Linked DNA regions of Mus musculus. The protein of the gene in region 1 interacts with the protein of each later gene in a pairwise test. Links are inferred from orthologs where the notes say so. Each region holds a gene or a part of one and is shown in the gene's direction. Other genes may lie near its edges. The genes, in order: Nckipsd, Nck2, Psmd9 and Stac.

Region 1 (5,156 bases):
GGAGAGACTAGGTTTGGACTCCTGGTCCCAATCTGGGATTCCTATGGTTTCTCTCTATAGGTTTTTAGAATTGTCTTTGCCGAGAGCCTGTGTATGCAAGCCCCTAAATGTAAACTATAAAATACCATCACAGAGTCCCAGGTAACACGATTTGACCACTTCATTCTGTATTCCATTTTGGCTGTCTTCTAGTGTCCAGAATTCTAGGCTAGTTCCAGATTGGGCTGGGTCTGGGCTGACCAATCCCACTTGGCACCCAGGTCTAACTACCCACCTACCTTTAGGGCATGGAACAAGATGTCCTCCAAGCTATTGACCGTGCCATTGAGGCTGTGCACAACACAGCCATGCGAGATGGCGGCAAGTACAGCCTGGAACAGCGTGGAGTCCTTCAGTGAGTATCTGGGAAGTGGAGGTAATACCTTCCCTTGAGCGTGTTGGTGGGGCCAGAGACACTGGAGGCAGTACTAGGGTTAGTGCGAGGTTCCACAGAGTGGGATGAATGATGGGAAAGATGGACGATGAGGAGCCTGTACTGTGAGGTCCCAGAATCCCGCAGGGGGTTTAAAAAAAGATTTATTTTAAAGTGTATATATGAGAGAAAGTGTATATGTGTGTGAGAGTATGTGCATGCATGTGTGTGTGTGTATGTGTGTGCATGCATGTGTGTGCATGCATGTGTGTGCATGCATTTGTGTGTGCATGCATGTGTGTTGTATGCATGTGTGTGTGTACTTTGGGTGTAGAGAGGAGCCTTCCCATCATGGTCTGTTTGTCTCTCTATTAGGAAGCTTATCCATCACCGGAAAGAAACCTTGTCTCGAAGAGGCACCTCAGCTTCCAGTGCTACGGTTATGACCCCATCCACCAGTGACCACCATTTGGACGCTGCTGTATCTAGACAGCCCAATGGGGTGTGTCGAACTGGGTTTGAACGGCAGCATAGCCTGCCCAGTTCTGAGCATCTTGGGACAGATGGAGCCCTCTACCAGGTATGGAGTAAGGGTATCTTTTAGAAGGAGGTGTCTGGGACTAAGACTTCATCCAGAGGCCCAAGGGGTCTGCTCAGGTGCAGCTAGCAGCTGTCTTCCCCTAGATCTCAATTCTGTTCTCTCAGGTTCCACCACAGCCTCGACGAGCAGCTCCTACCACCCCACCCCCACCGGTGAAGCGCCGAGACCGTGAGGCCCTGGTGATCTCAGGGAGTGGTGAGAGGGCCAGGCTTGGGTAGTTGGGATGGGAGTACCCTGCGCTTGGAATGGTTGCTCTGCCCATGTTGGGCAAATGGGAGCTCTGAATGGGGTAAATATAGAGTTTGTTTGGGGCCTCCAGGCTTGGTGAGGAGATAGGGCCTAACAGAGGAACTAGGTCTTGTACTAGGGTCAGGTTCTCTAGGCCAAGAAGCTTGGTGCTCCCCAACAGGCTGCCCCAGCATAGCTTTTACTTCTTGTTCACAGGTGGCCGCACAGCCATACCCTCTGGAGGTAGTTCTGTGTCTAGTGGCTCATCAGCCAGCAGCACCTCCATGGACACACTCTATACTGGCTCCAGCCCCTCTGAGCTAGGTCCCAGCTGCTCACCCACACCCCCGCCGGTACCTCGCCGAGGGGCCCACACTACTGTGTCCCAGCCCCAGCCCTCTCCCTCCAAGGCACCATCCCCTGAGCCCCCTACGGAGGAGGTGGCAGCTGAGACAAACTCAACCCCTGATGACTTGGAAGCTCAGGATGCCCTGAGCCCAGAGACCACAGAGGAGAAGGCAGCCGCTGAGACAGTTGTGCCAAGGACCATTGGGGCAGAGCTGATGGAACTCGTGCGGAGAAACACCGGTCTAAGCCATGAGTTATGCCGTGTAGCCATCGGCGTCGTGGTGGGTCACATCCAGGCCACCGTGCCAGCCAGCTCACCTATCATGGAGCAGGTCCTCCTCTCGCTGGTAGAAGGCAAGGTGAGGGTGGGCAGCATGGCCAAGGAGCCTTCCCACCCTCAGGCAGCCTGCTAATCCCACCCCGCTCCTGCCCTCACGCCTTTGTCCAGGCTGTGTGACAGGTATTTGTCAAGCTCTGGCCCTTGGCTTTTACTGTGCTGGGTCCTAGAGTCATTTGAGTTGACCCATGAAGGAGAAAGGGAGGAAGAACGTTCTAGACAGAGACTCAGCTTATAAGGAACAAGAGACAGGACCAAGCATGGCTCACAGGAAGGAAGAAGGTGGATGGCATATCTGCATCAGAGGCAGTGTGGGAGCCGGTGAGCCTAAGGCAGGTGATAAGGGAGACCAGGATGAGATGGGACTAGGGGAAGCTTCCCATCACCTGGAGGGGTTTCCCACTGGTGCTCCTTCTGTGATTCCGGATGCAGGGAAAGAAGCGAGACAGCATGGGGTGAGAGATCAGTGCCTTGCCAGCCTTGACGGTGTAGAGAAAAGGGGGCTTGGTTAACTATGGACGCTTGCTTAGTTTTGATAGTGGTTTAGGTGCCAGCTTGGATGGTAGTGAGTGACGTGGGCATTTCAAGATGACTGTGGTCGTTTCTCAAGGTTAGGGTACTGGTGTTAGGTCTGGTGCTGCACGCCTTTAATACCAGCACTCAGGAGGCAGAGGCAGGTGGCTCTCTGGGTTTGAGGCCATCTTGGTTTACAATGCAAATTCTAGGACAGCCAGAGAAACTGTGTCTCTGAGAAAAAAAAAAAAAGTAGGTCACTCATTAGGAGAAGGAACGCGGTAGTGAGTCCTGACTACGATAGGGTTTGAGTGGGCCAAAGGTGGTACTTAGGCTCCACCTATGATATCTGGTTGGAGTGAGTAGAGGGCAGTAGGCCAGTGTTTTGTGTGCCTATGCTGAGCATAGCAGCTAGTGTCTAGTATGACAGGCCTGGTGTCACATTGTGTGGAATGGGATGAGGATGGATCCTGAGTCACATTCAAGGAGTGACAGAGTTCGTTCCTGCCTCTTGGGAGCTGCTCAGCAAGTTCCAGGGTGGGAGCTGGGATGTTGGGAATTCCCACAGCTGAGCCTTGAGCAGAGTCTTGTACCAGGAGGTGGAAACTGGAGTTGGCCTACACAGTGTAAATTTTGTGGGACCTCAGTTCAAAGAATGCTAAGCTTAGAGGGGCCAGGTCTTGGAGGCTTCCTGGAGCTGGTGGTGTGCAGAGGTCTTACTGAGTCATACCCTGCCTTCTCCCCACAGGACCTGAGCACAGCCCTACCCTCAGGGCAGGTCTGCCACGACCAGCAGAGACTGGAAGTGATTTTTGCAGACCTGGCTCGAAGAAAGGATGACGCCCAGCAGCGCAGCTGGGCGCTGTACGAGGACGAGGACGTCATCCGCTGCTATCTGGAAGAACTGCTGCACATCCTGGTATGGGGCAGGGACGGACCCTCGGGCCTGCCGGCGTGGGAGCAGTGAGCCTCCCCTGGACCATCACCCTTCAGCCATTAGGTCACTTCTGCTCATGCATGCTCACCTCACACTGGGTGACTCTCACTCTTTCTCTTCCCTCCAGACGGATGCAGATCCCGAAGTTTGCAAGAAAATGTGCAAAAGGAGTGATTTTGAGTCTGTCCTAGCCTTGGTGGCCTATTACCAAATGGTATGTATAAGACAAGGGAGGGGCACAGAGGCATGTGGGCAGACGTAAGGGCACTTAGCACACGGGTTCTTCTGCCAGGAACACCGAGCGTCTCTACGGCTGCTGCTCCTCAAGTGTTTCGGTGCCATGTGCAGCCTAGATGCAGCGATCATCTCCACTCTGGTGTCTTCCGTGCTGCCTGTGGAATTGGCACGGGACATGCAGACCGACACGCAGGGTGAGGTGGGGTGGCCCTCCTTACCACTCGGAGGCTGTTTTCACCGTCTGCCGGGGATCCCTGGCCTTGCTGACTCCTTCCTTACCCCCCACCCCCAGACCACCAGAAGCTCTGTTACTCTGCCCTCGTCCTGGCCATGGTCTTCTCCATGGGAGAGGCGGTACCCTACGCACACTATGGTAAGAATCAAACCCTAAGCAGTGGGCACAAGGCCCCAGAGGTAAGAACCATGCGTCTCTCCAGGGCCTGAAGACCTACTGACTAGAGATGGTGTTCTTAGGCTCACAGAAAGCCAGGGAGGCTGGATCGTATGGGGAGCAAAAGTTGGATTTGTAGATTTCCTTATGCTACTCTTTTAGAACACCTGGGTACACCCTTTGCCCAGTTCCTACTAAGCATCGTTGAGGATGGCCTTCCAATGGACACCACGGAGCAGCTGCCAGACCTCTGCATGAACCTGCTTCTGGCTCTCAACCTGCACCTGACAGGTGGGGTGGGGCCATCTGGAAGGCAGCTGAGCAGTGGGCTTTTCGGGCTTCGCGGGCTTCTGTGCCTACACTCTTACCTGTCTCCATCCACGTCTCTCCGCAGCTCCTGAGCAGAATGTCATCATGGCTGCCTTGAGCAGACACACCAATGTGAAGATCTTCTCTGAGAAGCTGCTTCTGCTTCTGAACAGAGGGGGTGAGAGCCTAGAAGTCTGCATGGGTGCCGCTTGCGTACACACTTGACTCTGTCACGTGCCCTCCTCTGACTCCTGTGAACCCCTGTCTTCTAGACGACCCTGTGCGTATCTTCAGACATGAGCCCCAGCCACCACACTCTGTCCTCAAGTTCCTGCAGGATGTGTTCAGCAGCTCTGCCACAGCCGCCATCTTCTACCACACAGACATGATGGCGCTTATTGACATCACTGTGCGCCAGATCGCAGACCTGTCACCTGGAGACAAGGTGCCTGGGGGCCGCACAGCAGCTTAACCAAAAGGGGTGACTATGACATTGAGTGCAGATGAGGGGGCAGGGCTGCCGCTGCCAGGGCCAAGTGAGTGTGGAAGACTACTCGGAAACCAGGACATGGCAGCCAGCCGTGTATGTGGCAGACTGGAGCAGGATGTCTGAGGCGAGCTGGAATCGCTTTTCAGAAGAGGAAGAGACACTGCCTTCCTGTGAGAGCAGAGTGGAAGCCAGGAAGCCCGGGGCAGGAGTGGGTGGTGAAGTAGGCCAGGCTTGGGTGTGTTGCAAGTGGGCCCGGAAGAGCCTGCTTTGGGATTGGTTTTGAGCAGGTAGGTGGATAGAAGATGGTTAATGGAAGAGGCCCAAAGAACTTCTTAGGGAAAGATAACAGTTGT
Region 2 (5,612 bases), on another chromosome or scaffold:
CTGCCTGCATGCTGCCCTGCTTCAGACCATGATGACAATGGACCGAACTTCTGAAATGGTACTCCAGCCCCAATGAAGTATTTGCCCTTATAAGAGTTGCCTTGGTTATGGTGTCTCCTCACAGCAATAACACCCAAACTAAACTAAGACACCTAGCTGCATATGTATCAAAAGATGGCCTAGTAGGCCATCACTGGAAAGAGAGGCCCATTGGACACGCAAACTTTATATGCCCCAGTACAGGGGAACGCCAGGGCCAAAAAGTGGGAATGGGTGGGTAGGGGAGTGGCGGGGAGGGTATGGGGGACTTTTGGGATAGCATTGGAAATGTAATTGAGGAAAATACGTAATAAAAAAAATGTGGAAAAAAAACCTAAGACACCTCTCTCTCTCTCTCTCTCTCTCTCTCTCTCTCTCTCTCACACACACACACACACACACACACACACACACACACACACTGATCTATCATCTATGGATTTAATTGGGGGCTTGCTTACAATTCCAGTGGCTTGGTCCACTGTCATCACGGTGGGAAGCTTGGTAGCAGCCAGGCATGTTGCTAGGGAAGTAGCTGAGAGCTATACTCTGATCCACTGTGCAGCAAGCACACAGACACCCAGACACACAGGTGCTGGCTAAGTTCAAAGCTTACTCCCAGTGACTCATCTCCTCCAACAAGGACATACCCTCCTAATCTAAATAGTTTACTAACTGGCCTGCAAATATATGAGCCAAGGGGAGTCCTTCTTGTTCAAATCTCCCTGGAGATCTTATACAGAATCAGTGAGAGGAGTCTGAGGCCACTTTTCAAAGCAAAAGCTTAAAAACTGTGTCCATATCGTCTTACTTATTTAGCATAAACTAATTTTAAGTAGGGCTAAACTATTGGTTAGAGTTCTGCCTTCATTGTTGTAAAGCTAGATAGTAACAAAGATGAGGTCTGTAACAAAGAACGGATGAAGCTAGCATCTCCGACTGGAAGAGACTGTTGGGTGTGCTGATTTTGTACAGGATGCCTCCTAGTGCCCTCGTGTCAGGCTACGTGCCAGGTACTTAACATAGAAGGCAGGTAAACATCTCATGTGATAAAGCCGAGGAAGTTGTGAAACACCTGTGTAAGGTGACACAGTTCAGGAGCCTACGGTCAATGGCTGCGAGGACTATAGCCAAGCTTCCTCACGTTACTTATGCCTGGGAACTTCCTATAAGAAGGCAGGCAACTTTTCTTTCTTTCTTTTTCTTTTTTTGTTACGTAGGGTGAATTGTTTCTGCCTTAATAAGGAGGAAACAAGGGCTAGGGTTGAATCTCATTAACATAAATGTGAGTCGTCCGACCTGAAAGCGGAATTTATTTGAATATCAGGGGTTCCTTTGGGGTATAAGGAGCGAAGGAGCTTGGAGAAGAAACCTCTGGATCCAGTCCTTCTCTTCGATCCAGGGTTCTAGCTTTCCAAGTTTGCTTATAGGTTAGCTACTACTCAAGTCTGGGAGAGCAAGGTTTCCTTCTAAAGCTTTCTCAGCCTCCTGTACTAAAGAATTCCTGGGCTCTAATAAACTGGCCAGGACGCTGCGGAGGCAGCTGAGGTCGGGTTTCCTCTCCTCCCCCACTAGGAAGTGGTCCCGCCTGGAGGTTGGGGGTGGGGGGGATGGAGTAAAAAAGTGTCTGGATGGGAAAGTAAATAAATGCAAGGCAAATAAATAAAGAAAATGCCCACAAGCAATTACTGGGAGGAAGTGACATTTTTATGTAAGTCACTTTTCTGACAGACACCAGGCCTGTTTGGCTGAGAGTGCCGTGGGAATGCTTGGGGGGCGGGGTAGGGAGGTCGCTGTAAGGCTCCCGACGCACAGCCGGGTGCGGAGACCACCCGGTCTCGTGGGCTGCAAGTGGCACCTCCTTATCCCTAGCAGCCCCTCCCGGGTGCCCCCAGCTCCAATCTAGAGCGGGTTACGGCTTGAAGCCCCCAGGCGGCGCTTTCCCGAGGCCTGGCTGGGACTCCCAGGTGGGTCCCCCGCCCCGCGTGCGCCGGGCTGGGCCGGCCCCTGGGCGGCGTCACGGCAGCCAGGGAGGAGCGCGGGCGGGGAGCGCGCGGAGGCGGGCGCTGCGCGGGAGGGTCGCCGCCGCGGATCGCAGGCCGGTGCGCGCGGCCGAGCGGGCGGCGGCGGCGACGGTGGTGGTGAGGAGGGCTCGGCGGCAGGCAGGCTCGGGGCTCCCGGGCCGGCGGGGTCCGCCGGGTCCAATTGCGTCCGCTTGGTGGCGGGAGGAGGGAGCGGTGCAGACAAAGAGCGGCATCTGGGCGGGCGCAGCGCGGCCGCCGCCCCGGGACTCGCGCTGCTGCCCTCCGGCCTCGGCGTGCACTGTGCGGCGAGGTAAGGCGATGGCGGGGGCTGCAAACTTGGGCCGGTCCGTGGAGTTGGAAGAGAGGGGCGAGCGGGCCGCGGCCGCCCGGGGAGGGCCAGGGAGCGCGTACCCCTGCGTACCCGGCCGGTGCCCTCAGCCCCGCCGCGGCCTGGCGTCCCCGGGCACCCGCACCTCGGATACACACACCTTCCTGCGAGCCCTCGCCTCCCTCTGCCTGGGGCTGGCGTGGGGGTGGGGCGCCCTCCGCGGGCGGACTCCGGGGACCAAGGACCCAAAGCCCTCGGGAACACTAGCAGCCCTGGCCTGTGGGCGGGCGTGGGACCGAACAGTGGCCAGGTCGCCGGGCGCGCGTGCCTGGGAAGAATAGCCTGGGATCTGAGGGCCACAGCGCTAGGAAGCGGGAGGCTGCGATGGCCGGGGAGAACTTCCAGTATTTAGAACTATTCGTGATCCGGCACAAAGCTGCTGTCACGTTCCATAAAGGAGGTCCTTGCCTCGGCGCAGGGCGCTTTTGTGCCTGGTTCCTTCCAGTCCCTGCGCCCGGTCCCGCATTTCCAAGACTTAAACCTCCTCAACCAAAGTTTTTCCCGGTTGCTCTGCCCCCTCAGTTTATTTATTCAGGGCGATTTAAGCAAGTGGTTCTGCAAGAATTTGATGTGTGACTTTTAATGCCCCGGTGGCACCTCCCTTTTGAGCGCTGTTAGCTTGGCATTGTGTGGAGAGGTTTGATTTGCAAAACGCTGTTATTTATACACAACAGCGATCCTCCCGGAAGGTGTGCGCGGGTGGTGGTTAATGGATAGCAGAGGTGACTTACAGTAGTATTGTGAACAGCTTGGGGACACAGCTGGGTGCCAAGTGGAGTGGGCCCTGCCACCCTAACCCATTCAGGTTGGCCGCTTCCTCCTTATTTGGCTCTCCTTATTTTGCTAACAGGTTTAAGGCCAGTCTTGCCAAGTTTGCGTCTGTGTGTGGGATGAACAGGTCCGAGTTTGGGCTGGAGGTGCACAGGCCTGCTCCTTGGTTGACCCAAAAAGAAACAGCCCGTTGGCCAGTGGGCGTGGCTTGCTGGTATCCTCCCCTGGAGACTTCTCTGCTCCTCTCCCAATACAGGCTTTTCTGCAGAGATTTTGAGGAGGAATGAGAATAATTTTGGGTGTGTTTCCAGCCTGGGTTTTTTTTTTTTTTTTTTTTTTTGGTATAGTTAGCAACTGTGGTTTTTCTAGTCTAAAGGTCACTACTTTATCAGAACATCTCAACTGTGCTGTGGGCACTCCCTCCATTCACTTTCCAAGTGTTTATAGATACAGAGGTAGAAACCGGACTTTCTCGTGCATGTGCCTGGTTTATGTAGCGAAGGCAGCCAGTGAACACAATGGAGAAAGTGCACTTTAGACAGATAAGGTTTTACACCTTCGGGTCTTTCCTAAGTGACCACAAGTGACAATCCTCCCTTAAACTTTCTCACCTCCTGGTAGGTTAGCGTAGTTTTGATTGAAGAACGTAAAGGTCCCAGTGACCTGAAGCTGAAATGAGAACTTTGTGCAGCTGTAAAGCTTTGACTTACAGCTTACTGCCTGTCTTGCTCTCAGTTTCTTACACGTGCTTGAACAGAGCCCCAGTTTCAGGGTTGGAAGTTGCTATGTGAGCTCTGGACACTTGATAGGCGATTTGCCCACCGATGGAGAGACGACTGACCCCCTTTAAAATGGGTCGAACTTATAAAAGGTGGTTTCCAACTCCTTGTAGGCTCTTCAGTCCATTTCCAGGCTTTCAGTTTTGCTTTCCCCATGGGTCCTTGCTTCAGTCTTCTTCCTCCCTTTCTCTTTGATCCGGGCTTATTCCTGACCTCTGTCTTGAACATTGGGGTACTGAACATTGCTGACAAACAGCAGCACCCAGGTGTTTGAGAAATGTGCTCTCATCCTTGCTAAATCTCTCCAGAGCTTTCCTTGTTGGAGCAGACCGAATGACCCCTTGAAAACAGCCCGATAGTCACTGATTGCATAGTGACCTGTAGTCCTTTATTTGATCATTTGCATTAGCTTAATTTGCCCTGGCAAGACTGGGCTTGGTTGCTTTGTAGGGCACACATGCTTCTAACTGACTGGCTTGCAGTGTGCACTGGGGCTGATGAGGCTCGTGGAAATGATTTTCTGATGTTCATAATGAGCCTTAATGACTGAAGAATTCAAGACTGCTTGTTGCAAGTGCAGAGCAGTGTAGGGAACAGTGGTTGGGGAAACTTGTAAGCTAACATTTCTTACAAAAGGACCGGGAAGCTTCCCATAGAGACTTAGGAAATTCATTTTCCCATCCAGAGGGACTTCAAATGTTGCTTTGGAATTGTTTCTCTTTCCTAAAAAAATGAGTGATAGAAACATTTCTCAAGGTGTTTTCAAAGGACATATGTGAAAAAACAATGATGCCATTTGTGTGCTGTTCTGTGTAAGTTAGGCAGCCTTTTAAAACAAGCTATCAGAGGTATGCAGCCATGGTGTTTTTTGTTTTTTTTTTGTTTGTTTGTTTGTTTGTTTGTTTTTTCGAGACAGGGTTTCTCTGTGTAGCCCTGGCTGTCCTGGAACTCACTTTGTAGACCAGGCTGGCCTCGAACTCAGAAATCCGCCTGCCTCTGCCTCCCGAGTGCTGGGATTAAAGCCGTGCAACACCACGCCCCGCAATGCATTTCTTTAGGCAATCAGAGTAGTGTAATTTTTAAAAAGACTTTTAATTTTCAGCAATTCACTTTGCACAAAGCACAGAGAACATGATGGTAAGAGAATCATGTCCTCGGCACCCCAGTTCCCACCCCACTTCCCGCCCTTTCTTTCCCCTGGAGTTCACTTCCACCTGAAATTCTCAGTCCTCCAGGCCATGACAGTGAAAACTGTTCTTTAGATCGACATAGCAGTACCACGCTAGGGTCACACTGGTATTTCCATCTCTGACTAGTACTTGTGAGTAGCCAAAGGTCCCTTTCCCAGATTATATGGCTGTCTTAAATTTCATCATCTTTTTGAAGGGCCATTTTTCTCCTGTATTTCACCATCTTCCTTCTCAACTAAGAGGCAATAACTGTGTCCTGGGACATCCAACAGATCTTTCTTGGTGGTTTCCTTTGGACATCTGTGACCTTCTTCCTAGTTGTCTTCATTATTTCTTACCCTGGTATAGGCTGGAAGGTGTTGATCATAGCATTTGATCCATAGTTCATGTGTGACAACACATTTCTTAGCACCTTGTTGAT
Region 3 (5,920 bases), on another chromosome or scaffold:
ATGAACATTGTTGTGGAAGTGTAAGCTAAATAAACCCTTTCCTCCCCACTTTGCTTGTTGGTCATGATGTTTGCGCAGGAATAGAAACCTTGACTAACACAGCCATGCTATTTTATCACAGCAATAGAACCTTAACTAAGACAGTGTGCAAGTGTTTTGCCTGCATATACGTATGTGTCCTAAGTGCGTGCTGGATGGTTGTGGAGGTCAGGTGAGGGCATTGGAGACCCTGGAGCTAGAGTAACAGACAGTTGTAAGCTTCCATGTAAGTACTGGGAACCCAGGCCCTCTGCAAGAGCTTTAAGTATGTTCTTAACCTCTGAACCATCTCTCTACCCCACACCCCAGTTTCTATGTTTACCTACATTTATAGAGGCCTGACACAGTTTCATATTCTTTACCACTTCAGTCTTGTGGGGAATTCATGAGAGGAGACTGCTCAGATAGAGTTTTAATCTGATAGTCTTTATTAGTGAGCCAGTACAACACTAAGTGTTTGGGACCCCAGTGGAGCACTGAGCCTTTTTCAGGGTAAGCTTTTTGAGCACAAAAACCGGGTCCTGGGGTGATATACCTTAGTTCACAAGAGCAATTAGCCAGGAGCACAACCACTGAAGCCAAAAAGCAAGGTTCGTGCATGGAGAGACTTTCCCACAGCTGTGGACTTGGATGGCTTCCGGCTTTGTTTTAGTTTTGGCAGGTGGTGCTGTCTGTGTGCTGTGTTTTCCAGCCTGAGTGGTACTTTCTTTATGGAGTCGGTTGTACTAAGGTCTGGGGGCCTGTTACACCAGCACCTCGTGACAGAGGTGAAAGTCAATAAATACTTGGACACCCTTAAGAGACACGTTGCTAGGGTGTGTGTACTCTGATCAGGATCCAAAGGGAATAAATTAGTAAATAAAAATGAAAAAAAAGAGCGAGAGATATTACTGTTAGTGTCACACAATAAGGTCAGAGAGCAGAAGGTGAAATTATTTAAGGTCACATGGAATATATATAGTCGGTGTTAATGGTCCAACTTTGAACATAGGTTGTACCATGAGGATCCCCAGCCCGAAAGTGGCTGGGGATATAGCTGAGTTGGTAGAGTGTTCCTGATCCCCAATATTTCATAAACCATACCTGGTGGTACATGCCTGTAATCCCTGCCTGTGGAGGGAGCAGATGGAGTATCAGATGCTCAAAGGCACTGGGCACACTAGGTTATAAAGAAGGAAAAAAAAAAAGGTCTTGAAGTTTTGATGAGGATAGGTTGAGGGAGGTGCGAAATGGATAGAATGGGAGTGGGGGGTTAGAGGGTGTCTGTGATCATGACAATAAGAAATAGAATATTCTAAAAACTTGGGGAGAGCTTCAAGGTCGCCTTCATCTACACAATGAGTTAGAGGCCTGCCTGAGATGCAGTAAATCTTGTCTGGAAAAAGAAAAAGAAAAGAAACAGAAAACAAAAAACAAATCGCTTGAAAGCCTCTTTCAAACACTCAGGGGCTTCGTAGATGTTAAGAACTGAAGTGTCAAGGTTGGCAAGACTGGATCCTCTTACATTTATACAGCTGGTATCCAGTTTACTCAGCCTTCAGATGAGTGAATGAAAAAAAGTGTAAGCCAGATGTGGTGGCTTTAATCCCAGCACTTGGGAGCAGAGGCAGGAGGATTTCTGAGTTTGAGGCCAGCCTGGTCTACAGAGTGAGTTCCAGGACAGCCAGGGATACACAGAGAAACCCTGTCTTGAAAAACGGGGTGGGGTGGGGGGGTGGGGAAACGGACGGATGGAGGGACGGGGACAGAATGAAAAAGAAAGGAATGAACAAGAAAAGTGGAAATGAGTCAGGATAAAGTGGGAGTAAATACCTATGTCCTCTATGGGCCTATTTATCTCTACCGGGTCATCTGAAAACCACGTGGTCTATCTAGCCGGTGACCCCGCCCACTTCCAAGCTCCACCCTTCATCTGTTTCCGTACTTGCGCGTTGGCTGAGCTGTTTTGGCCCCGGGGAGGACCCGTAGCCTCAGCCTCGGCTGGCGTCCGTAGCCGGGAAACCCAGAACTCTAGCTTGAGGTCCGCGATGTCGGGTGAAGACGTTCCGCACCGGGCAGAGTCCTCCGAGGCCCGTGCGGCCGCGGTCAGCGACATCCAGGATCTGATGCGACGCAAGGAGGAGATCGAGGCGGAGATCAAGGCTAATTACGACGTCCTGGAGAGCGTGAGTGTGGCGGGGAGGCCTGCGGACGAGGCTCGGGGTCGCTGCCAAGCAGTGTCCTAGAGGGGGTCTTTGCTGCGTGCCACACGCCCCTTTAAGCATTTTTTCTTTACGTGGGATTAATTTTCATTTTCGGAAGCATTAACTTTGCATTTTAAAGTTTTTTGTTTGTTTGTTTTTAACGCAGCCCCTAAGCTGGCTTCGAACTCGTGATCCTCCTGCTTCATCTTTCTGAGTGCGGGAATCGCGGGCCTGTGCAACCATGATATAGGCCTTAGTGAAACTGCCTCGGTCGCAAGGATAGACTATTTGCTGAGGCATAGTGATAATCGCTACTGTCACTTTCTGTAGGTGACATTACCAGGTTTGGCCTCGCCACCCGCTTTTCTTTAGGACTTTATAAATGTCAACTGGGAGAATTAATTGGGCATCTTGTTAAAATGCACGTTGTAGCCAGGGGAGGCATCCCTATTTAAGCCCAGCGTTTAGAGAGTGGAGGCAGGGGGATCAGGACTTGAGGGTTATTCTTGCCTACATAGTAAGCTCGAGGCTGTCCTGGGTTATATTAGACCTTGTCTCAAAAAAAAACCAAAAAAAAAAAAAAAAAAAAAAAACAAAAAAGAAAAGTAAAAATGAAATGCAGACTCTAATTGGGATAGGGAAAAGACTCTGGATTTTAAGAAAACCCTCACCTCTGCTAATTGCTCTTTTAAGTGGAGCCAGATTAAGCACATTGTCTTTACTGTAAAAGGGGAAACAGGGCCAGAGTGGAGCCAATGCTTGCCCAGTTAGGAAGGGGGAATGGTTGGCTCTGTGATCTGTTTACCTCCTAAGCAGATATATTTTTCATAAAACCCCAAGTCAGTGTATAGAGGAAGGGGAGGCTAAATCACACTCATTGCTGGGCACAATGACATCTGGGTGATGGGTGCCAGATGACGGTGTCATATAGAGGTTCTACAGGCCAGGTAGGTGCTGACCATGTGCCTGAAAGGTACTATCTTGTATGTGTGCTGTGCCAGGAAACTGTCACAGCAGTATTGTTAACTTGTGTCCCTGAAGCTCAAAGGGGCGGAGTCAGGGGCTGGAGAGATGGCTCAGTGGTTTAAAGGCACTGGCCATCATAAGGACTGGAGTTGAGATCCAGAATTTACTACTGTGTAAGTTCACACGCCCGTGGAGACGTTTAAACAGACACAAATCTCTTTAAAGAAAAAAAAACACAAAAACCCGTGTGTGTGTGTGTGTGTGTGTGTGTGTGTACACATATATCTGTGTATGTATGGATACACATATATGTGTATATATGTATGTGTATATGTATGTATGTATATGTGTGTGTGTATACACATATATCTGTGTGTGTGTATGAAAGGAGAAGTCACTTGTTTAAAGTCACAGGCCTCCGGCTTGGTAAAGCTTAAAACAGATAAAAAGCAATTTTTTGTTTTGTTTTGTCTTGTTTTTCGAATGAGAGTTTCTTTTTGTAGCTCTGGCTGTCCTGAACTCAGAGATCCACCAGCCTCTGCCTCTCAAGTGCTAGGATTTAAGGCGTGCACTACCATCGGCTGGCAAAAAGCAATTTCTTAAACTGCAGTAACTTGCCTAACTCCAGTAGAATCAGACATCTCACGTATTGTCTTTTGGTATTGGCCTACCCTTTACTATTTAGCTGGGTGTGGTGTTGCATACCTGCAGCCCGAAGCAAGCAAAAGCATGGAGATTGCCACACGTTCAGGGCCAGTCTGTTTTACACAGTGAGCTCTAGGACTATATAGTGGAACAGCAAGACCCTGTCTGAACAAACCAGCGTTTGGGGAGGCTAGGAGTATAGCTCGGTTTGTCGGATGCATACCGCAGAGACCTCAAGACCTGAGTTTGGTCCCTAGAACTCAAGGCTGTTACTGGTCCATGTCTGGGATCCCAACTGGACAGGCAGAGACAGAAGATGCCCGGGTTTATGGGCAGCCAGTCCAGCCTGTTTGATGAGCTGTAGGCTGGTGAGACAGCATGTCTCAAAGGAGGTAGATAGTGTTCCTGAGATGCCCCCTTGAGATTATCCTCTGACTGGCACATGTGTGGCATCTGCATACACACAAACCTATTAGAAACCAAATCAAAAGAGGAAAAACTATAACTATTTTCTCTTAAATATAAGGTAAGAGTGTATGTTAATTGCCTCTGGCTAATTTTTTTTTTTTTTGGTTGCTGAGGGCTTGAATCTTAAAATTTGTCTGCTCTGATTTATTTCATATTATTATTATTATTATTATTATTTTAGGGACAGGCTCCCAGCTGGGTGGTGATGTCTCATTTCTTTATTCTAAGCACTTGGGAGGCAGAGGCAGGTGGATCTCTTGAGTTTGTGGTCAGCCTGGTCTACAGAGTGAGTTCCAGGACAATCAGGGCTACACAGAGAAACCCTGTCTCAAAAAACAAAACAGAAAAAAAAAAAGACAGGCTCTCAGTATGCAGCTTAGACTACATATGTGAAACTCTGTCCCTCCCCCACATAAAAGTAAAAACAGATTATAAATGATAAATTAGATATCACTATTAAAACTCCTATTTCATAATACGTAGTCAAGACTATAAGAAGAGAAGCCACAGGATGGAAGGAAGTGGTTGCACATCCTCTCATAAGCTGGTGTCTGGGATATAGAAAACGGAGCGATAAAACACAGTCATAAATACACAGATAGTGTACTGAGAACAGGGCAGAGGGTCTAAGTGAATGGTCCTTAAATTAAATACATATGATTGATAGAGAAGCTGGTGAACACATTCAGGACATCGGTTAAAAGCTCCACGTGCTCTTGCAGAGGACCTGGGTTCAGTTCCCAGCACTCACACATGCGTGGTAACTGCACTTCCAGGGTACCCGATGCCGCTTCTGACCTCCGCAGGCACCGCACACACATGGTGCACATCTATCCGTAGATCCAAAACACTTGCACACATAGAGGAACTCTTAAAGGCCCAGCATGCTGAACAGCCACAGTGTAGTTAAAATCACAGTGCCATACTCCCTCATACTCACCAGGATGGGGATAACGAGAATATGGGTAATATCTTAAGGAGACTATGGAGAAATTGGAAATACCATACAACTGTAAGATGGTGTAACTGCTGTCCAAAAACAGTTCGGCAGTTTCTCAAAAAGGTAAACATAGAGTTAACATAGAACTCAGAAAATCCATTCCTCATTTGATATTATGATTGTTGCAAATATATCATCCAAAAGTTCATACATAGCTGTAGTGAGAGCTTTGGTTTCTTTGGAAATGCTTGGGTTTTTTTTTTTTTTTTTTTAAGATTTATTTATTTATTATATGTAAGTACACTGTAGCTGTCTCCAGACGCTCCAGAAGAGGGCATCAGATCTCATTATGGATGGTTGTGAGCCTGGGATTTGAACTCAGGACTTTTTGGAAGAGCAGGCAGTGCTCTTAACCGCTGAGCCAGTCTCCAGCCCGGAAATGCTTGTTTTTGTTATAATCCCAAGTGCCCACCACAGCAGCTGATTGTGATTTGCCTTGAACTCCAGCAGGAGCCTGGTTCTGCAAGCTGTAGCTCGATCCTGTGCTTGGGTAGCGTGGAATTGTGGGGGCTTTTTAGAGGATATATAAATGTTAGCGCTCTGAGCCGTGGAGTTGTTGTCGGTTGTTGGGTGGTTGTTGTTGGTTGCTGTTGGTCTAGCTGGTTAAGTAGTCCTATGC
Region 4 (5,156 bases), about 2.8 Mb from region 1:
CTACCCTTCAAGGTCCAGGACATGCTTTCCTGAGTGTAGCAGAAGGTGAAGGGTATGACCAGTTCTCCCACTCTCAAGGCCACTAGGCCAGCTGTAGGAGGCAAGGGGCAGGTGTGGGGAAATGCACATCTTCCTTGCAGACAAGTTGAGGGCCCAGCTCTCTCATGGCCACACCCTTGAGCTGGCTTACCTGTGCCCCCAGCAATCAAGTTCAGCTATACTGTGTTACCTAAGTGAGGTACAGGGTCTGCTCTCTGGCTCTGACGACCTCTGGCTCTCCTGCCTGCTATAGGTAACAAGGAGTATGGGGGGCGGAGTGCATGGCATCTCTCCCTCATCCATATCACTGAATGGTAGACAAATGTCGAGGCTAGCTCTCCCATGCTCATACCCTCAGGCCTCCTCCACTCAGGTCTTTTCACACACAAACACACACACACACTAACACACAAACACACACACACACACACACACACACACACACACACCAGGGTCAATCAGCTCTACTGTGCTCCCCAGACAAGGTGCAGGGCCCTGCTCTCCTGAGTCCTGCAGGTAGTGAAGGGCAGGGCTCTCTCTCCTGCTCTTATGACCCCAGTGCCAGGTCTCCTACCTGGGGCAGGTGGTGAGGGGGGAGGGGGGCATGAGGGGATCTCTCCCTCATCCAGGTAGGCGTGTCTTTCAAGCAGTCCATTTCAATAAGAAATGTCCCATTGCCTTCCAACAAAATCTCTGGCTCTAGAAGCAGGCAGACCCCCTTGCCTGACACGGTGTCCACCCACACACACCAGGGCAAGGAAGGAAAGCACCAACTTCTGTGTAAACTTCTGGAGATCACAGTCTTTCTCCATTCTCACTGACCATTAGAGGTTCCATGTTCCTGAGACCTGGTGTAACTTCCACTCTTAACCAACACCTGGAGACTCACTGACCAAGAAAGGAATGAGCCTGAGGTCAGCAGAAGGCAGGCTAACGTTGAACCTGCTTTTCATGAGCTGTTTGACCTGGTTACTTGATCTCCTTCATTTCTCAGAGGCTCCAATAACACCGTCCTGGCCTATGCTCCTGTGTTGGTTATACACTGTCCTGTAAGCACAGCACAGCAGATGGGCAACTTAATAGCATCAACTACCGTCATATTTCTGGTGGGGAGCAGGGTGCATAATCTGCATGGAACTTGGCTGGGAAGTTGTGGTCTCCACTAGAGTCCCCTTTTGTCTTGCAGGAGGTGGTATGGCTCAGGTCAGTGAACTCCCTGGGTGAAGGAGACTTGTTTTGCACAGTCTCTCAGGTTATCATACATTTGGTCTTGAAAGCATTTGGCAGGCTTCCAAAGGAGCCACGGGGGTCCTGCCTTCAAACTGGCTTAGAGCTCTTCTCCTCCACACCAACACAGTCTTCTCTCTCATTAGTTCTCTTTGTTCCCTATTGGCATTGGTCATACACTTGTCATACACACATACATGCATACATACATACATGCATACATACATACATATATACATACATACACACGTGATTCTTATGCTTCTGTATAAAAATCTAAAAATCCCAAGTAAAGGAAAACATGATATTTCTCTTTCTGAAACTGGGTTAATTTACTTAACTACTAAATTACTATCTCCAGTTACATCATTTTCTTTCAAATAACATAACTTTCATTTTTATGACAAAAAAGATTATATATATATATATACACATAATCACATTCCTCATCTGTTCCTCTGTTGCCAGACATCTAGAATAGATAATGAACATGTAACTTAGTTTTGAGGATGTGTTGAACCAATAACATACGTGTATGAAATGTCCTTATATGATAGTACAATGTTCAATGAATATATAGTTAATTTTTTAGAATATAATTGCACTTGTGTATGTACATGTGCACCACAGCACACAGCTGGTGGTCACAGTACAACTTGTGTGAGTCAGTTCTCCCATCCCGTGGGTCCCAGGCATGGACCTCAGGTCTCTGGGCTTCATAACAAGTGTCTTTTATTTGCTAATTCCCACTCATCAGCCTGACATTAAAGTGAAATAAAAGTTCAAATGCCTGGTGGCTCACATCTGAACTCTCAGCAGCGGGCTGAGGGAAGAGGATATCTTGCAAGTCTGAGGACGATCTGGGCTGTGTCGTAAGTTCGAAGCCAGCTTAGGCTATGATATAAGATCTCGTCTCATCTGTATCCCTAAAACCAGACAAATCCTCCAGCCAGCAAGTTCACAGAGTGGAAAATAGACTCTATTCAGCCAGTGGTTAAGAGCACTCGCTGCTGTTCCAGATGACCTGAGTTCAGTCTATTGCAAAAGCACGCTGAAAATTGGCAAGACCATTGGGAGGTGAGAAGAACACACTTTTTGTGCTATGCCTGAACCTCAGCTCTGTGACCGCAGTGGCTTCCTTGTCCTCTGAGGTCAAGATAGAGGTGGGGAGGGAGGTGACAGGCTTGACACTGCCCCACCAGCTCTTCTTCACTGTCTTCAGGGAGCCTGGCCCCACTGTGTGGAGACTCCAGTCAGCACAGGGTACCTTCATGCATAGCCTACAGCAAGAATGGCTCCAGATGAATACTTAACCAAAGGAGCCCACCTCAAAGCTGATGGACCCCTGAAAGCCATGCAGCTAGTTCATTGTTTACTCCTTCTATCTGGGTGGCAGAAAGGCGGGTGCTAAGGGCTGATAATGAAATGCTTGAGAGATTTTTTCAAGAGCCACGATAGCTGGCAAGACTGAGCAAAGCCAAGGTTGGTGCAGACTGTGATCAGTGCCAAGGGCCCAGGAGTCTGAGCAGCAGGAGCTGGACCCTTTGTGATTTTAGTGCAGGGACCGAGCCTAGCGTTTTACCCAGCCAGGCAGGCACTCTACCACTGAGCTGGATCTTCAGCCTTGTTTTCTCACTATTTAATTTTCAAGACGTGGACTTGCCAAAGCTGACCCAAACTCACTCTGCAGGCCATGTGATCTGAGAGTTGCAGCCTCCTGAGTAGCTAGGGGTCTAGGCCTGCAGTGCCACATTCAGCCAAAGCTGCTCTTTATGCCTAAGAAGAAGGGAAGTCCTCAGAGGATTTTAAGCGCAAAGCTCCTGCGCTCACATCTGTGCGTCCAGAAGTTTCCTCCTGCATGGTCAGATTAGCAATGCAGACTGGACTCAAGTCCTGTGAGCACCCTTCCAAATCCATGTGGTGGCTCACCATAAGTCCCATAGGCAAGAGAGAAATGATCTAGTTTACTGAGGCTGAAAAGCAGGGCAAGGACACCTGAAGGGCCAGGAGAGCTAAGCAAGGCTTTTGAAATACTAAGTCTTAAACACACACCACATACATAAACATGTATCACATACATACCTCACAGTCCCTCATACCACATACACCCAGGTATGTGCATATATATTCATACATACATACCACATATATAACACACATACTTGTACAAATACACATGTACATACACTATTCACATGCATATACTACACACACACATACCACGTGGGCATACAGGCATGTCTTAAACACTGTACATGCTTCTTTCCACATGTTTCAGGTACAAGCAGACTAGCAAGCTTCTGGTTTGTGTCCTGGAGACCATTTAGCCAGATTAATGTCAAGTCAGAGGGAGACATTGTTTGTATACTTTACTGTCCTTAGAGACAAATAACTACTGACTGGCCGTACAAGAGAGAAGACAGTATAACACACAGCCTTGGTATCCAGGAGTTCATACCTCACTTCCAACTATGAAAACTCAAGACAAAAGGTCAAAATCCCAGGGTCCTGAGACTTGTGTCCTGGGACTTCAGGCAGCACATTGGTGGGGCCTAAGAAAGCAAGGCTGGGAAGGAAGATGGTGGAATGGGTCATGTGGAGCCTCTCCCTGCTCACTAGCTTATGGGATACAGGATGAACTACTGAGTCCCATTTCAGGTATCCACCAGCCTTGGACTGCCCGCCCTGGGGCCTGGCAGAACTTCCCAGGTATACATGGGGTCTAGGGCAGAGCTGGCTGCATCCCCCACAGGAGTCACAGGACCCATCATAAGAGAGGCTGTCCTGTCATTGCCTTGCAGCTCCAGAAACTAAAACGGTCACTTTCTTTCAAGACCAAGAGCTTGCGGAGCAAAAGTGCTGACAACTTCTTCCCAAGAACCAACAGTGATGTGAAACCGCAAGCAGACCTGCTGGCCAAGGCCAGCCCAGGCCCCAGCCCAATAGCCATCCCTGGAAGCCCAGCGTCCATGCCCACCAAGGCTGGCCTGCACCCCGGCAGCAACAGCAAGCTCCACGCCTTTCAGGAGCATGTCTTTAAGAAGCCCACCTTCTGTGATGTCTGCAACCACATGATCGTGGGTAAGACCCCTACCCCCACCCCTACAGGTACAATGTCCTTGGGAAAAGGAATGAGAGCTGGAGGCCCAGGTTCAGGGGACCCATAGACCAGCTCTGAGCTTCAGAGAGTTAAATGTAAGAAGGTCAATGTGGGGAGTGGCCATGATGGAGGGGCCTTACCCAAAGCAAAGGCAAACAGGGCTAGGTGGAGGGAGAATTAGTTTGGAATATGGTTGGAACCAAGACAGCAGCTGGCATCGTCCACCAGAAGCCTGGTTCCCTTCATACCCTTTCTGTATGTGGCCCACGTATACCTGCCTGAGCCTGTTATTCCAGGTAGGCACCAGAGACCTGAGATGTTTGTACCTGTCATCACTGAAACTGGATGCCTCAGTGATGGCTATGAGGCCAGGAAGGCAGAATGTTCTCTGGTTCCCTCATCCTTGTCAAGGTCCAGTTAAGGGGTGTGTCAATGTAAAAGAGACTAAGAGACAGTTTCTTCTAACGTCAAATATTAGTGACCATGGTCCCAGGAATACAGATTTAGGCTACCCCGATACTATGAGTCAATGGTTCATGAAAGCTATAAATCAAGGGATTTTTTTTTCAAATATATGGGTGTGGTCAGCATGTCACAGAAAAGCAGGGAGTTTCAGGTATCAACCTCAGATGTGATCTGATCTGTGACATCTTCAGCCTTTGGGATGGAGGAAGTTTAAGGTCAACATATATTCTGAGAGGTCTTTACCTCCAAGTCTTACAAGGCTGGTAGGTCAAACACAGGTGGGTTATTAATGACTGGGAAACTAAAGATAGCCCAAGACCAATTG

What was found.
Region 2: the proteins of Nckipsd (region 1) and Nck2 interact in binary tests that used the Homo sapiens proteins (3 or more experiments, as listed by UniProt). The two-hybrid records come from large-scale screens. The link is inferred for Mus musculus from reciprocal best matches to the Homo sapiens genes NCKIPSD and NCK2.
Region 3: the proteins of Nckipsd (region 1) and Psmd9 interact in binary tests that used the Homo sapiens proteins (3 or more experiments, as listed by UniProt). The two-hybrid records come from large-scale screens. The link is inferred for Mus musculus from reciprocal best matches to the Homo sapiens genes NCKIPSD and PSMD9.
Region 4: the proteins of Nckipsd (region 1) and Stac interact in binary tests that used the Homo sapiens proteins (3 or more experiments, as listed by UniProt). The link is inferred for Mus musculus from reciprocal best matches to the Homo sapiens genes NCKIPSD and STAC.

What each region holds. Positions count from the first base shown.
Region 1 is NC_000075.6:108,810,762-108,815,917, forward strand, and holds part of Nckipsd (NCK-interacting protein with SH3 domain), read left to right. Parts: intron 1-60; exon of another isoform or gene 61-141; intron 142-284; coding exon 285-394; intron 395-787; coding exon 788-992; intron 993-1,117; coding exon 1,118-1,208; intron 1,209-1,457; coding exon 1,458-1,948; exon of another isoform or gene 1,949-2,114; coding exon of another isoform or gene 2,115-2,258; intron 2,259-3,187; coding exon 3,188-3,358; intron 3,359-3,503; coding exon 3,504-3,590; intron 3,591-3,668; coding exon 3,669-3,807; intron 3,808-3,905; coding exon 3,906-3,986; intron 3,987-4,166; coding exon 4,167-4,295; intron 4,296-4,398; coding exon 4,399-4,491; intron 4,492-4,585; coding exon 4,586-4,758; intron 4,759-5,156. UniProt on the Homo sapiens protein: Has an important role in stress fiber formation induced by active diaphanous protein homolog 1 (DRF1). Induces microspike formation, in vivo. In vitro, stimulates N-WASP-induced ARP2/3 complex activation in the absence of CDC42.
Region 2 is NC_000067.6:43,443,655-43,449,266, forward strand, and holds the start of Nck2 (cytoplasmic protein NCK2), read left to right. Parts: upstream 1-2,096; 5' UTR 2,097-2,373; intron 2,374-5,612. UniProt on the Homo sapiens protein: Adapter protein which associates with tyrosine-phosphorylated growth factor receptors or their cellular substrates. Maintains low levels of EIF2S1 phosphorylation by promoting its dephosphorylation by PP1.
Region 3 is NC_000071.6:123,226,241-123,232,160, forward strand, and holds the start of Psmd9 (26S proteasome non-ATPase regulatory subunit 9), read left to right. Parts: upstream 1-1,949; 5' UTR 1,950-2,066; coding exon 2,067-2,204; intron 2,205-5,920. UniProt on the Homo sapiens protein: Acts as a chaperone during the assembly of the 26S proteasome, specifically of the base subcomplex of the PA700/19S regulatory complex (RC).
Region 4 is NC_000075.6:111,633,997-111,639,152, reverse strand, and holds part of Stac (SH3 and cysteine-rich domain-containing protein), read left to right. Parts: intron 1-4,067; coding exon 4,068-4,347; intron 4,348-5,156. UniProt on the Homo sapiens protein: Promotes expression of the ion channel CACNA1H at the cell membrane, and thereby contributes to the regulation of channel activity.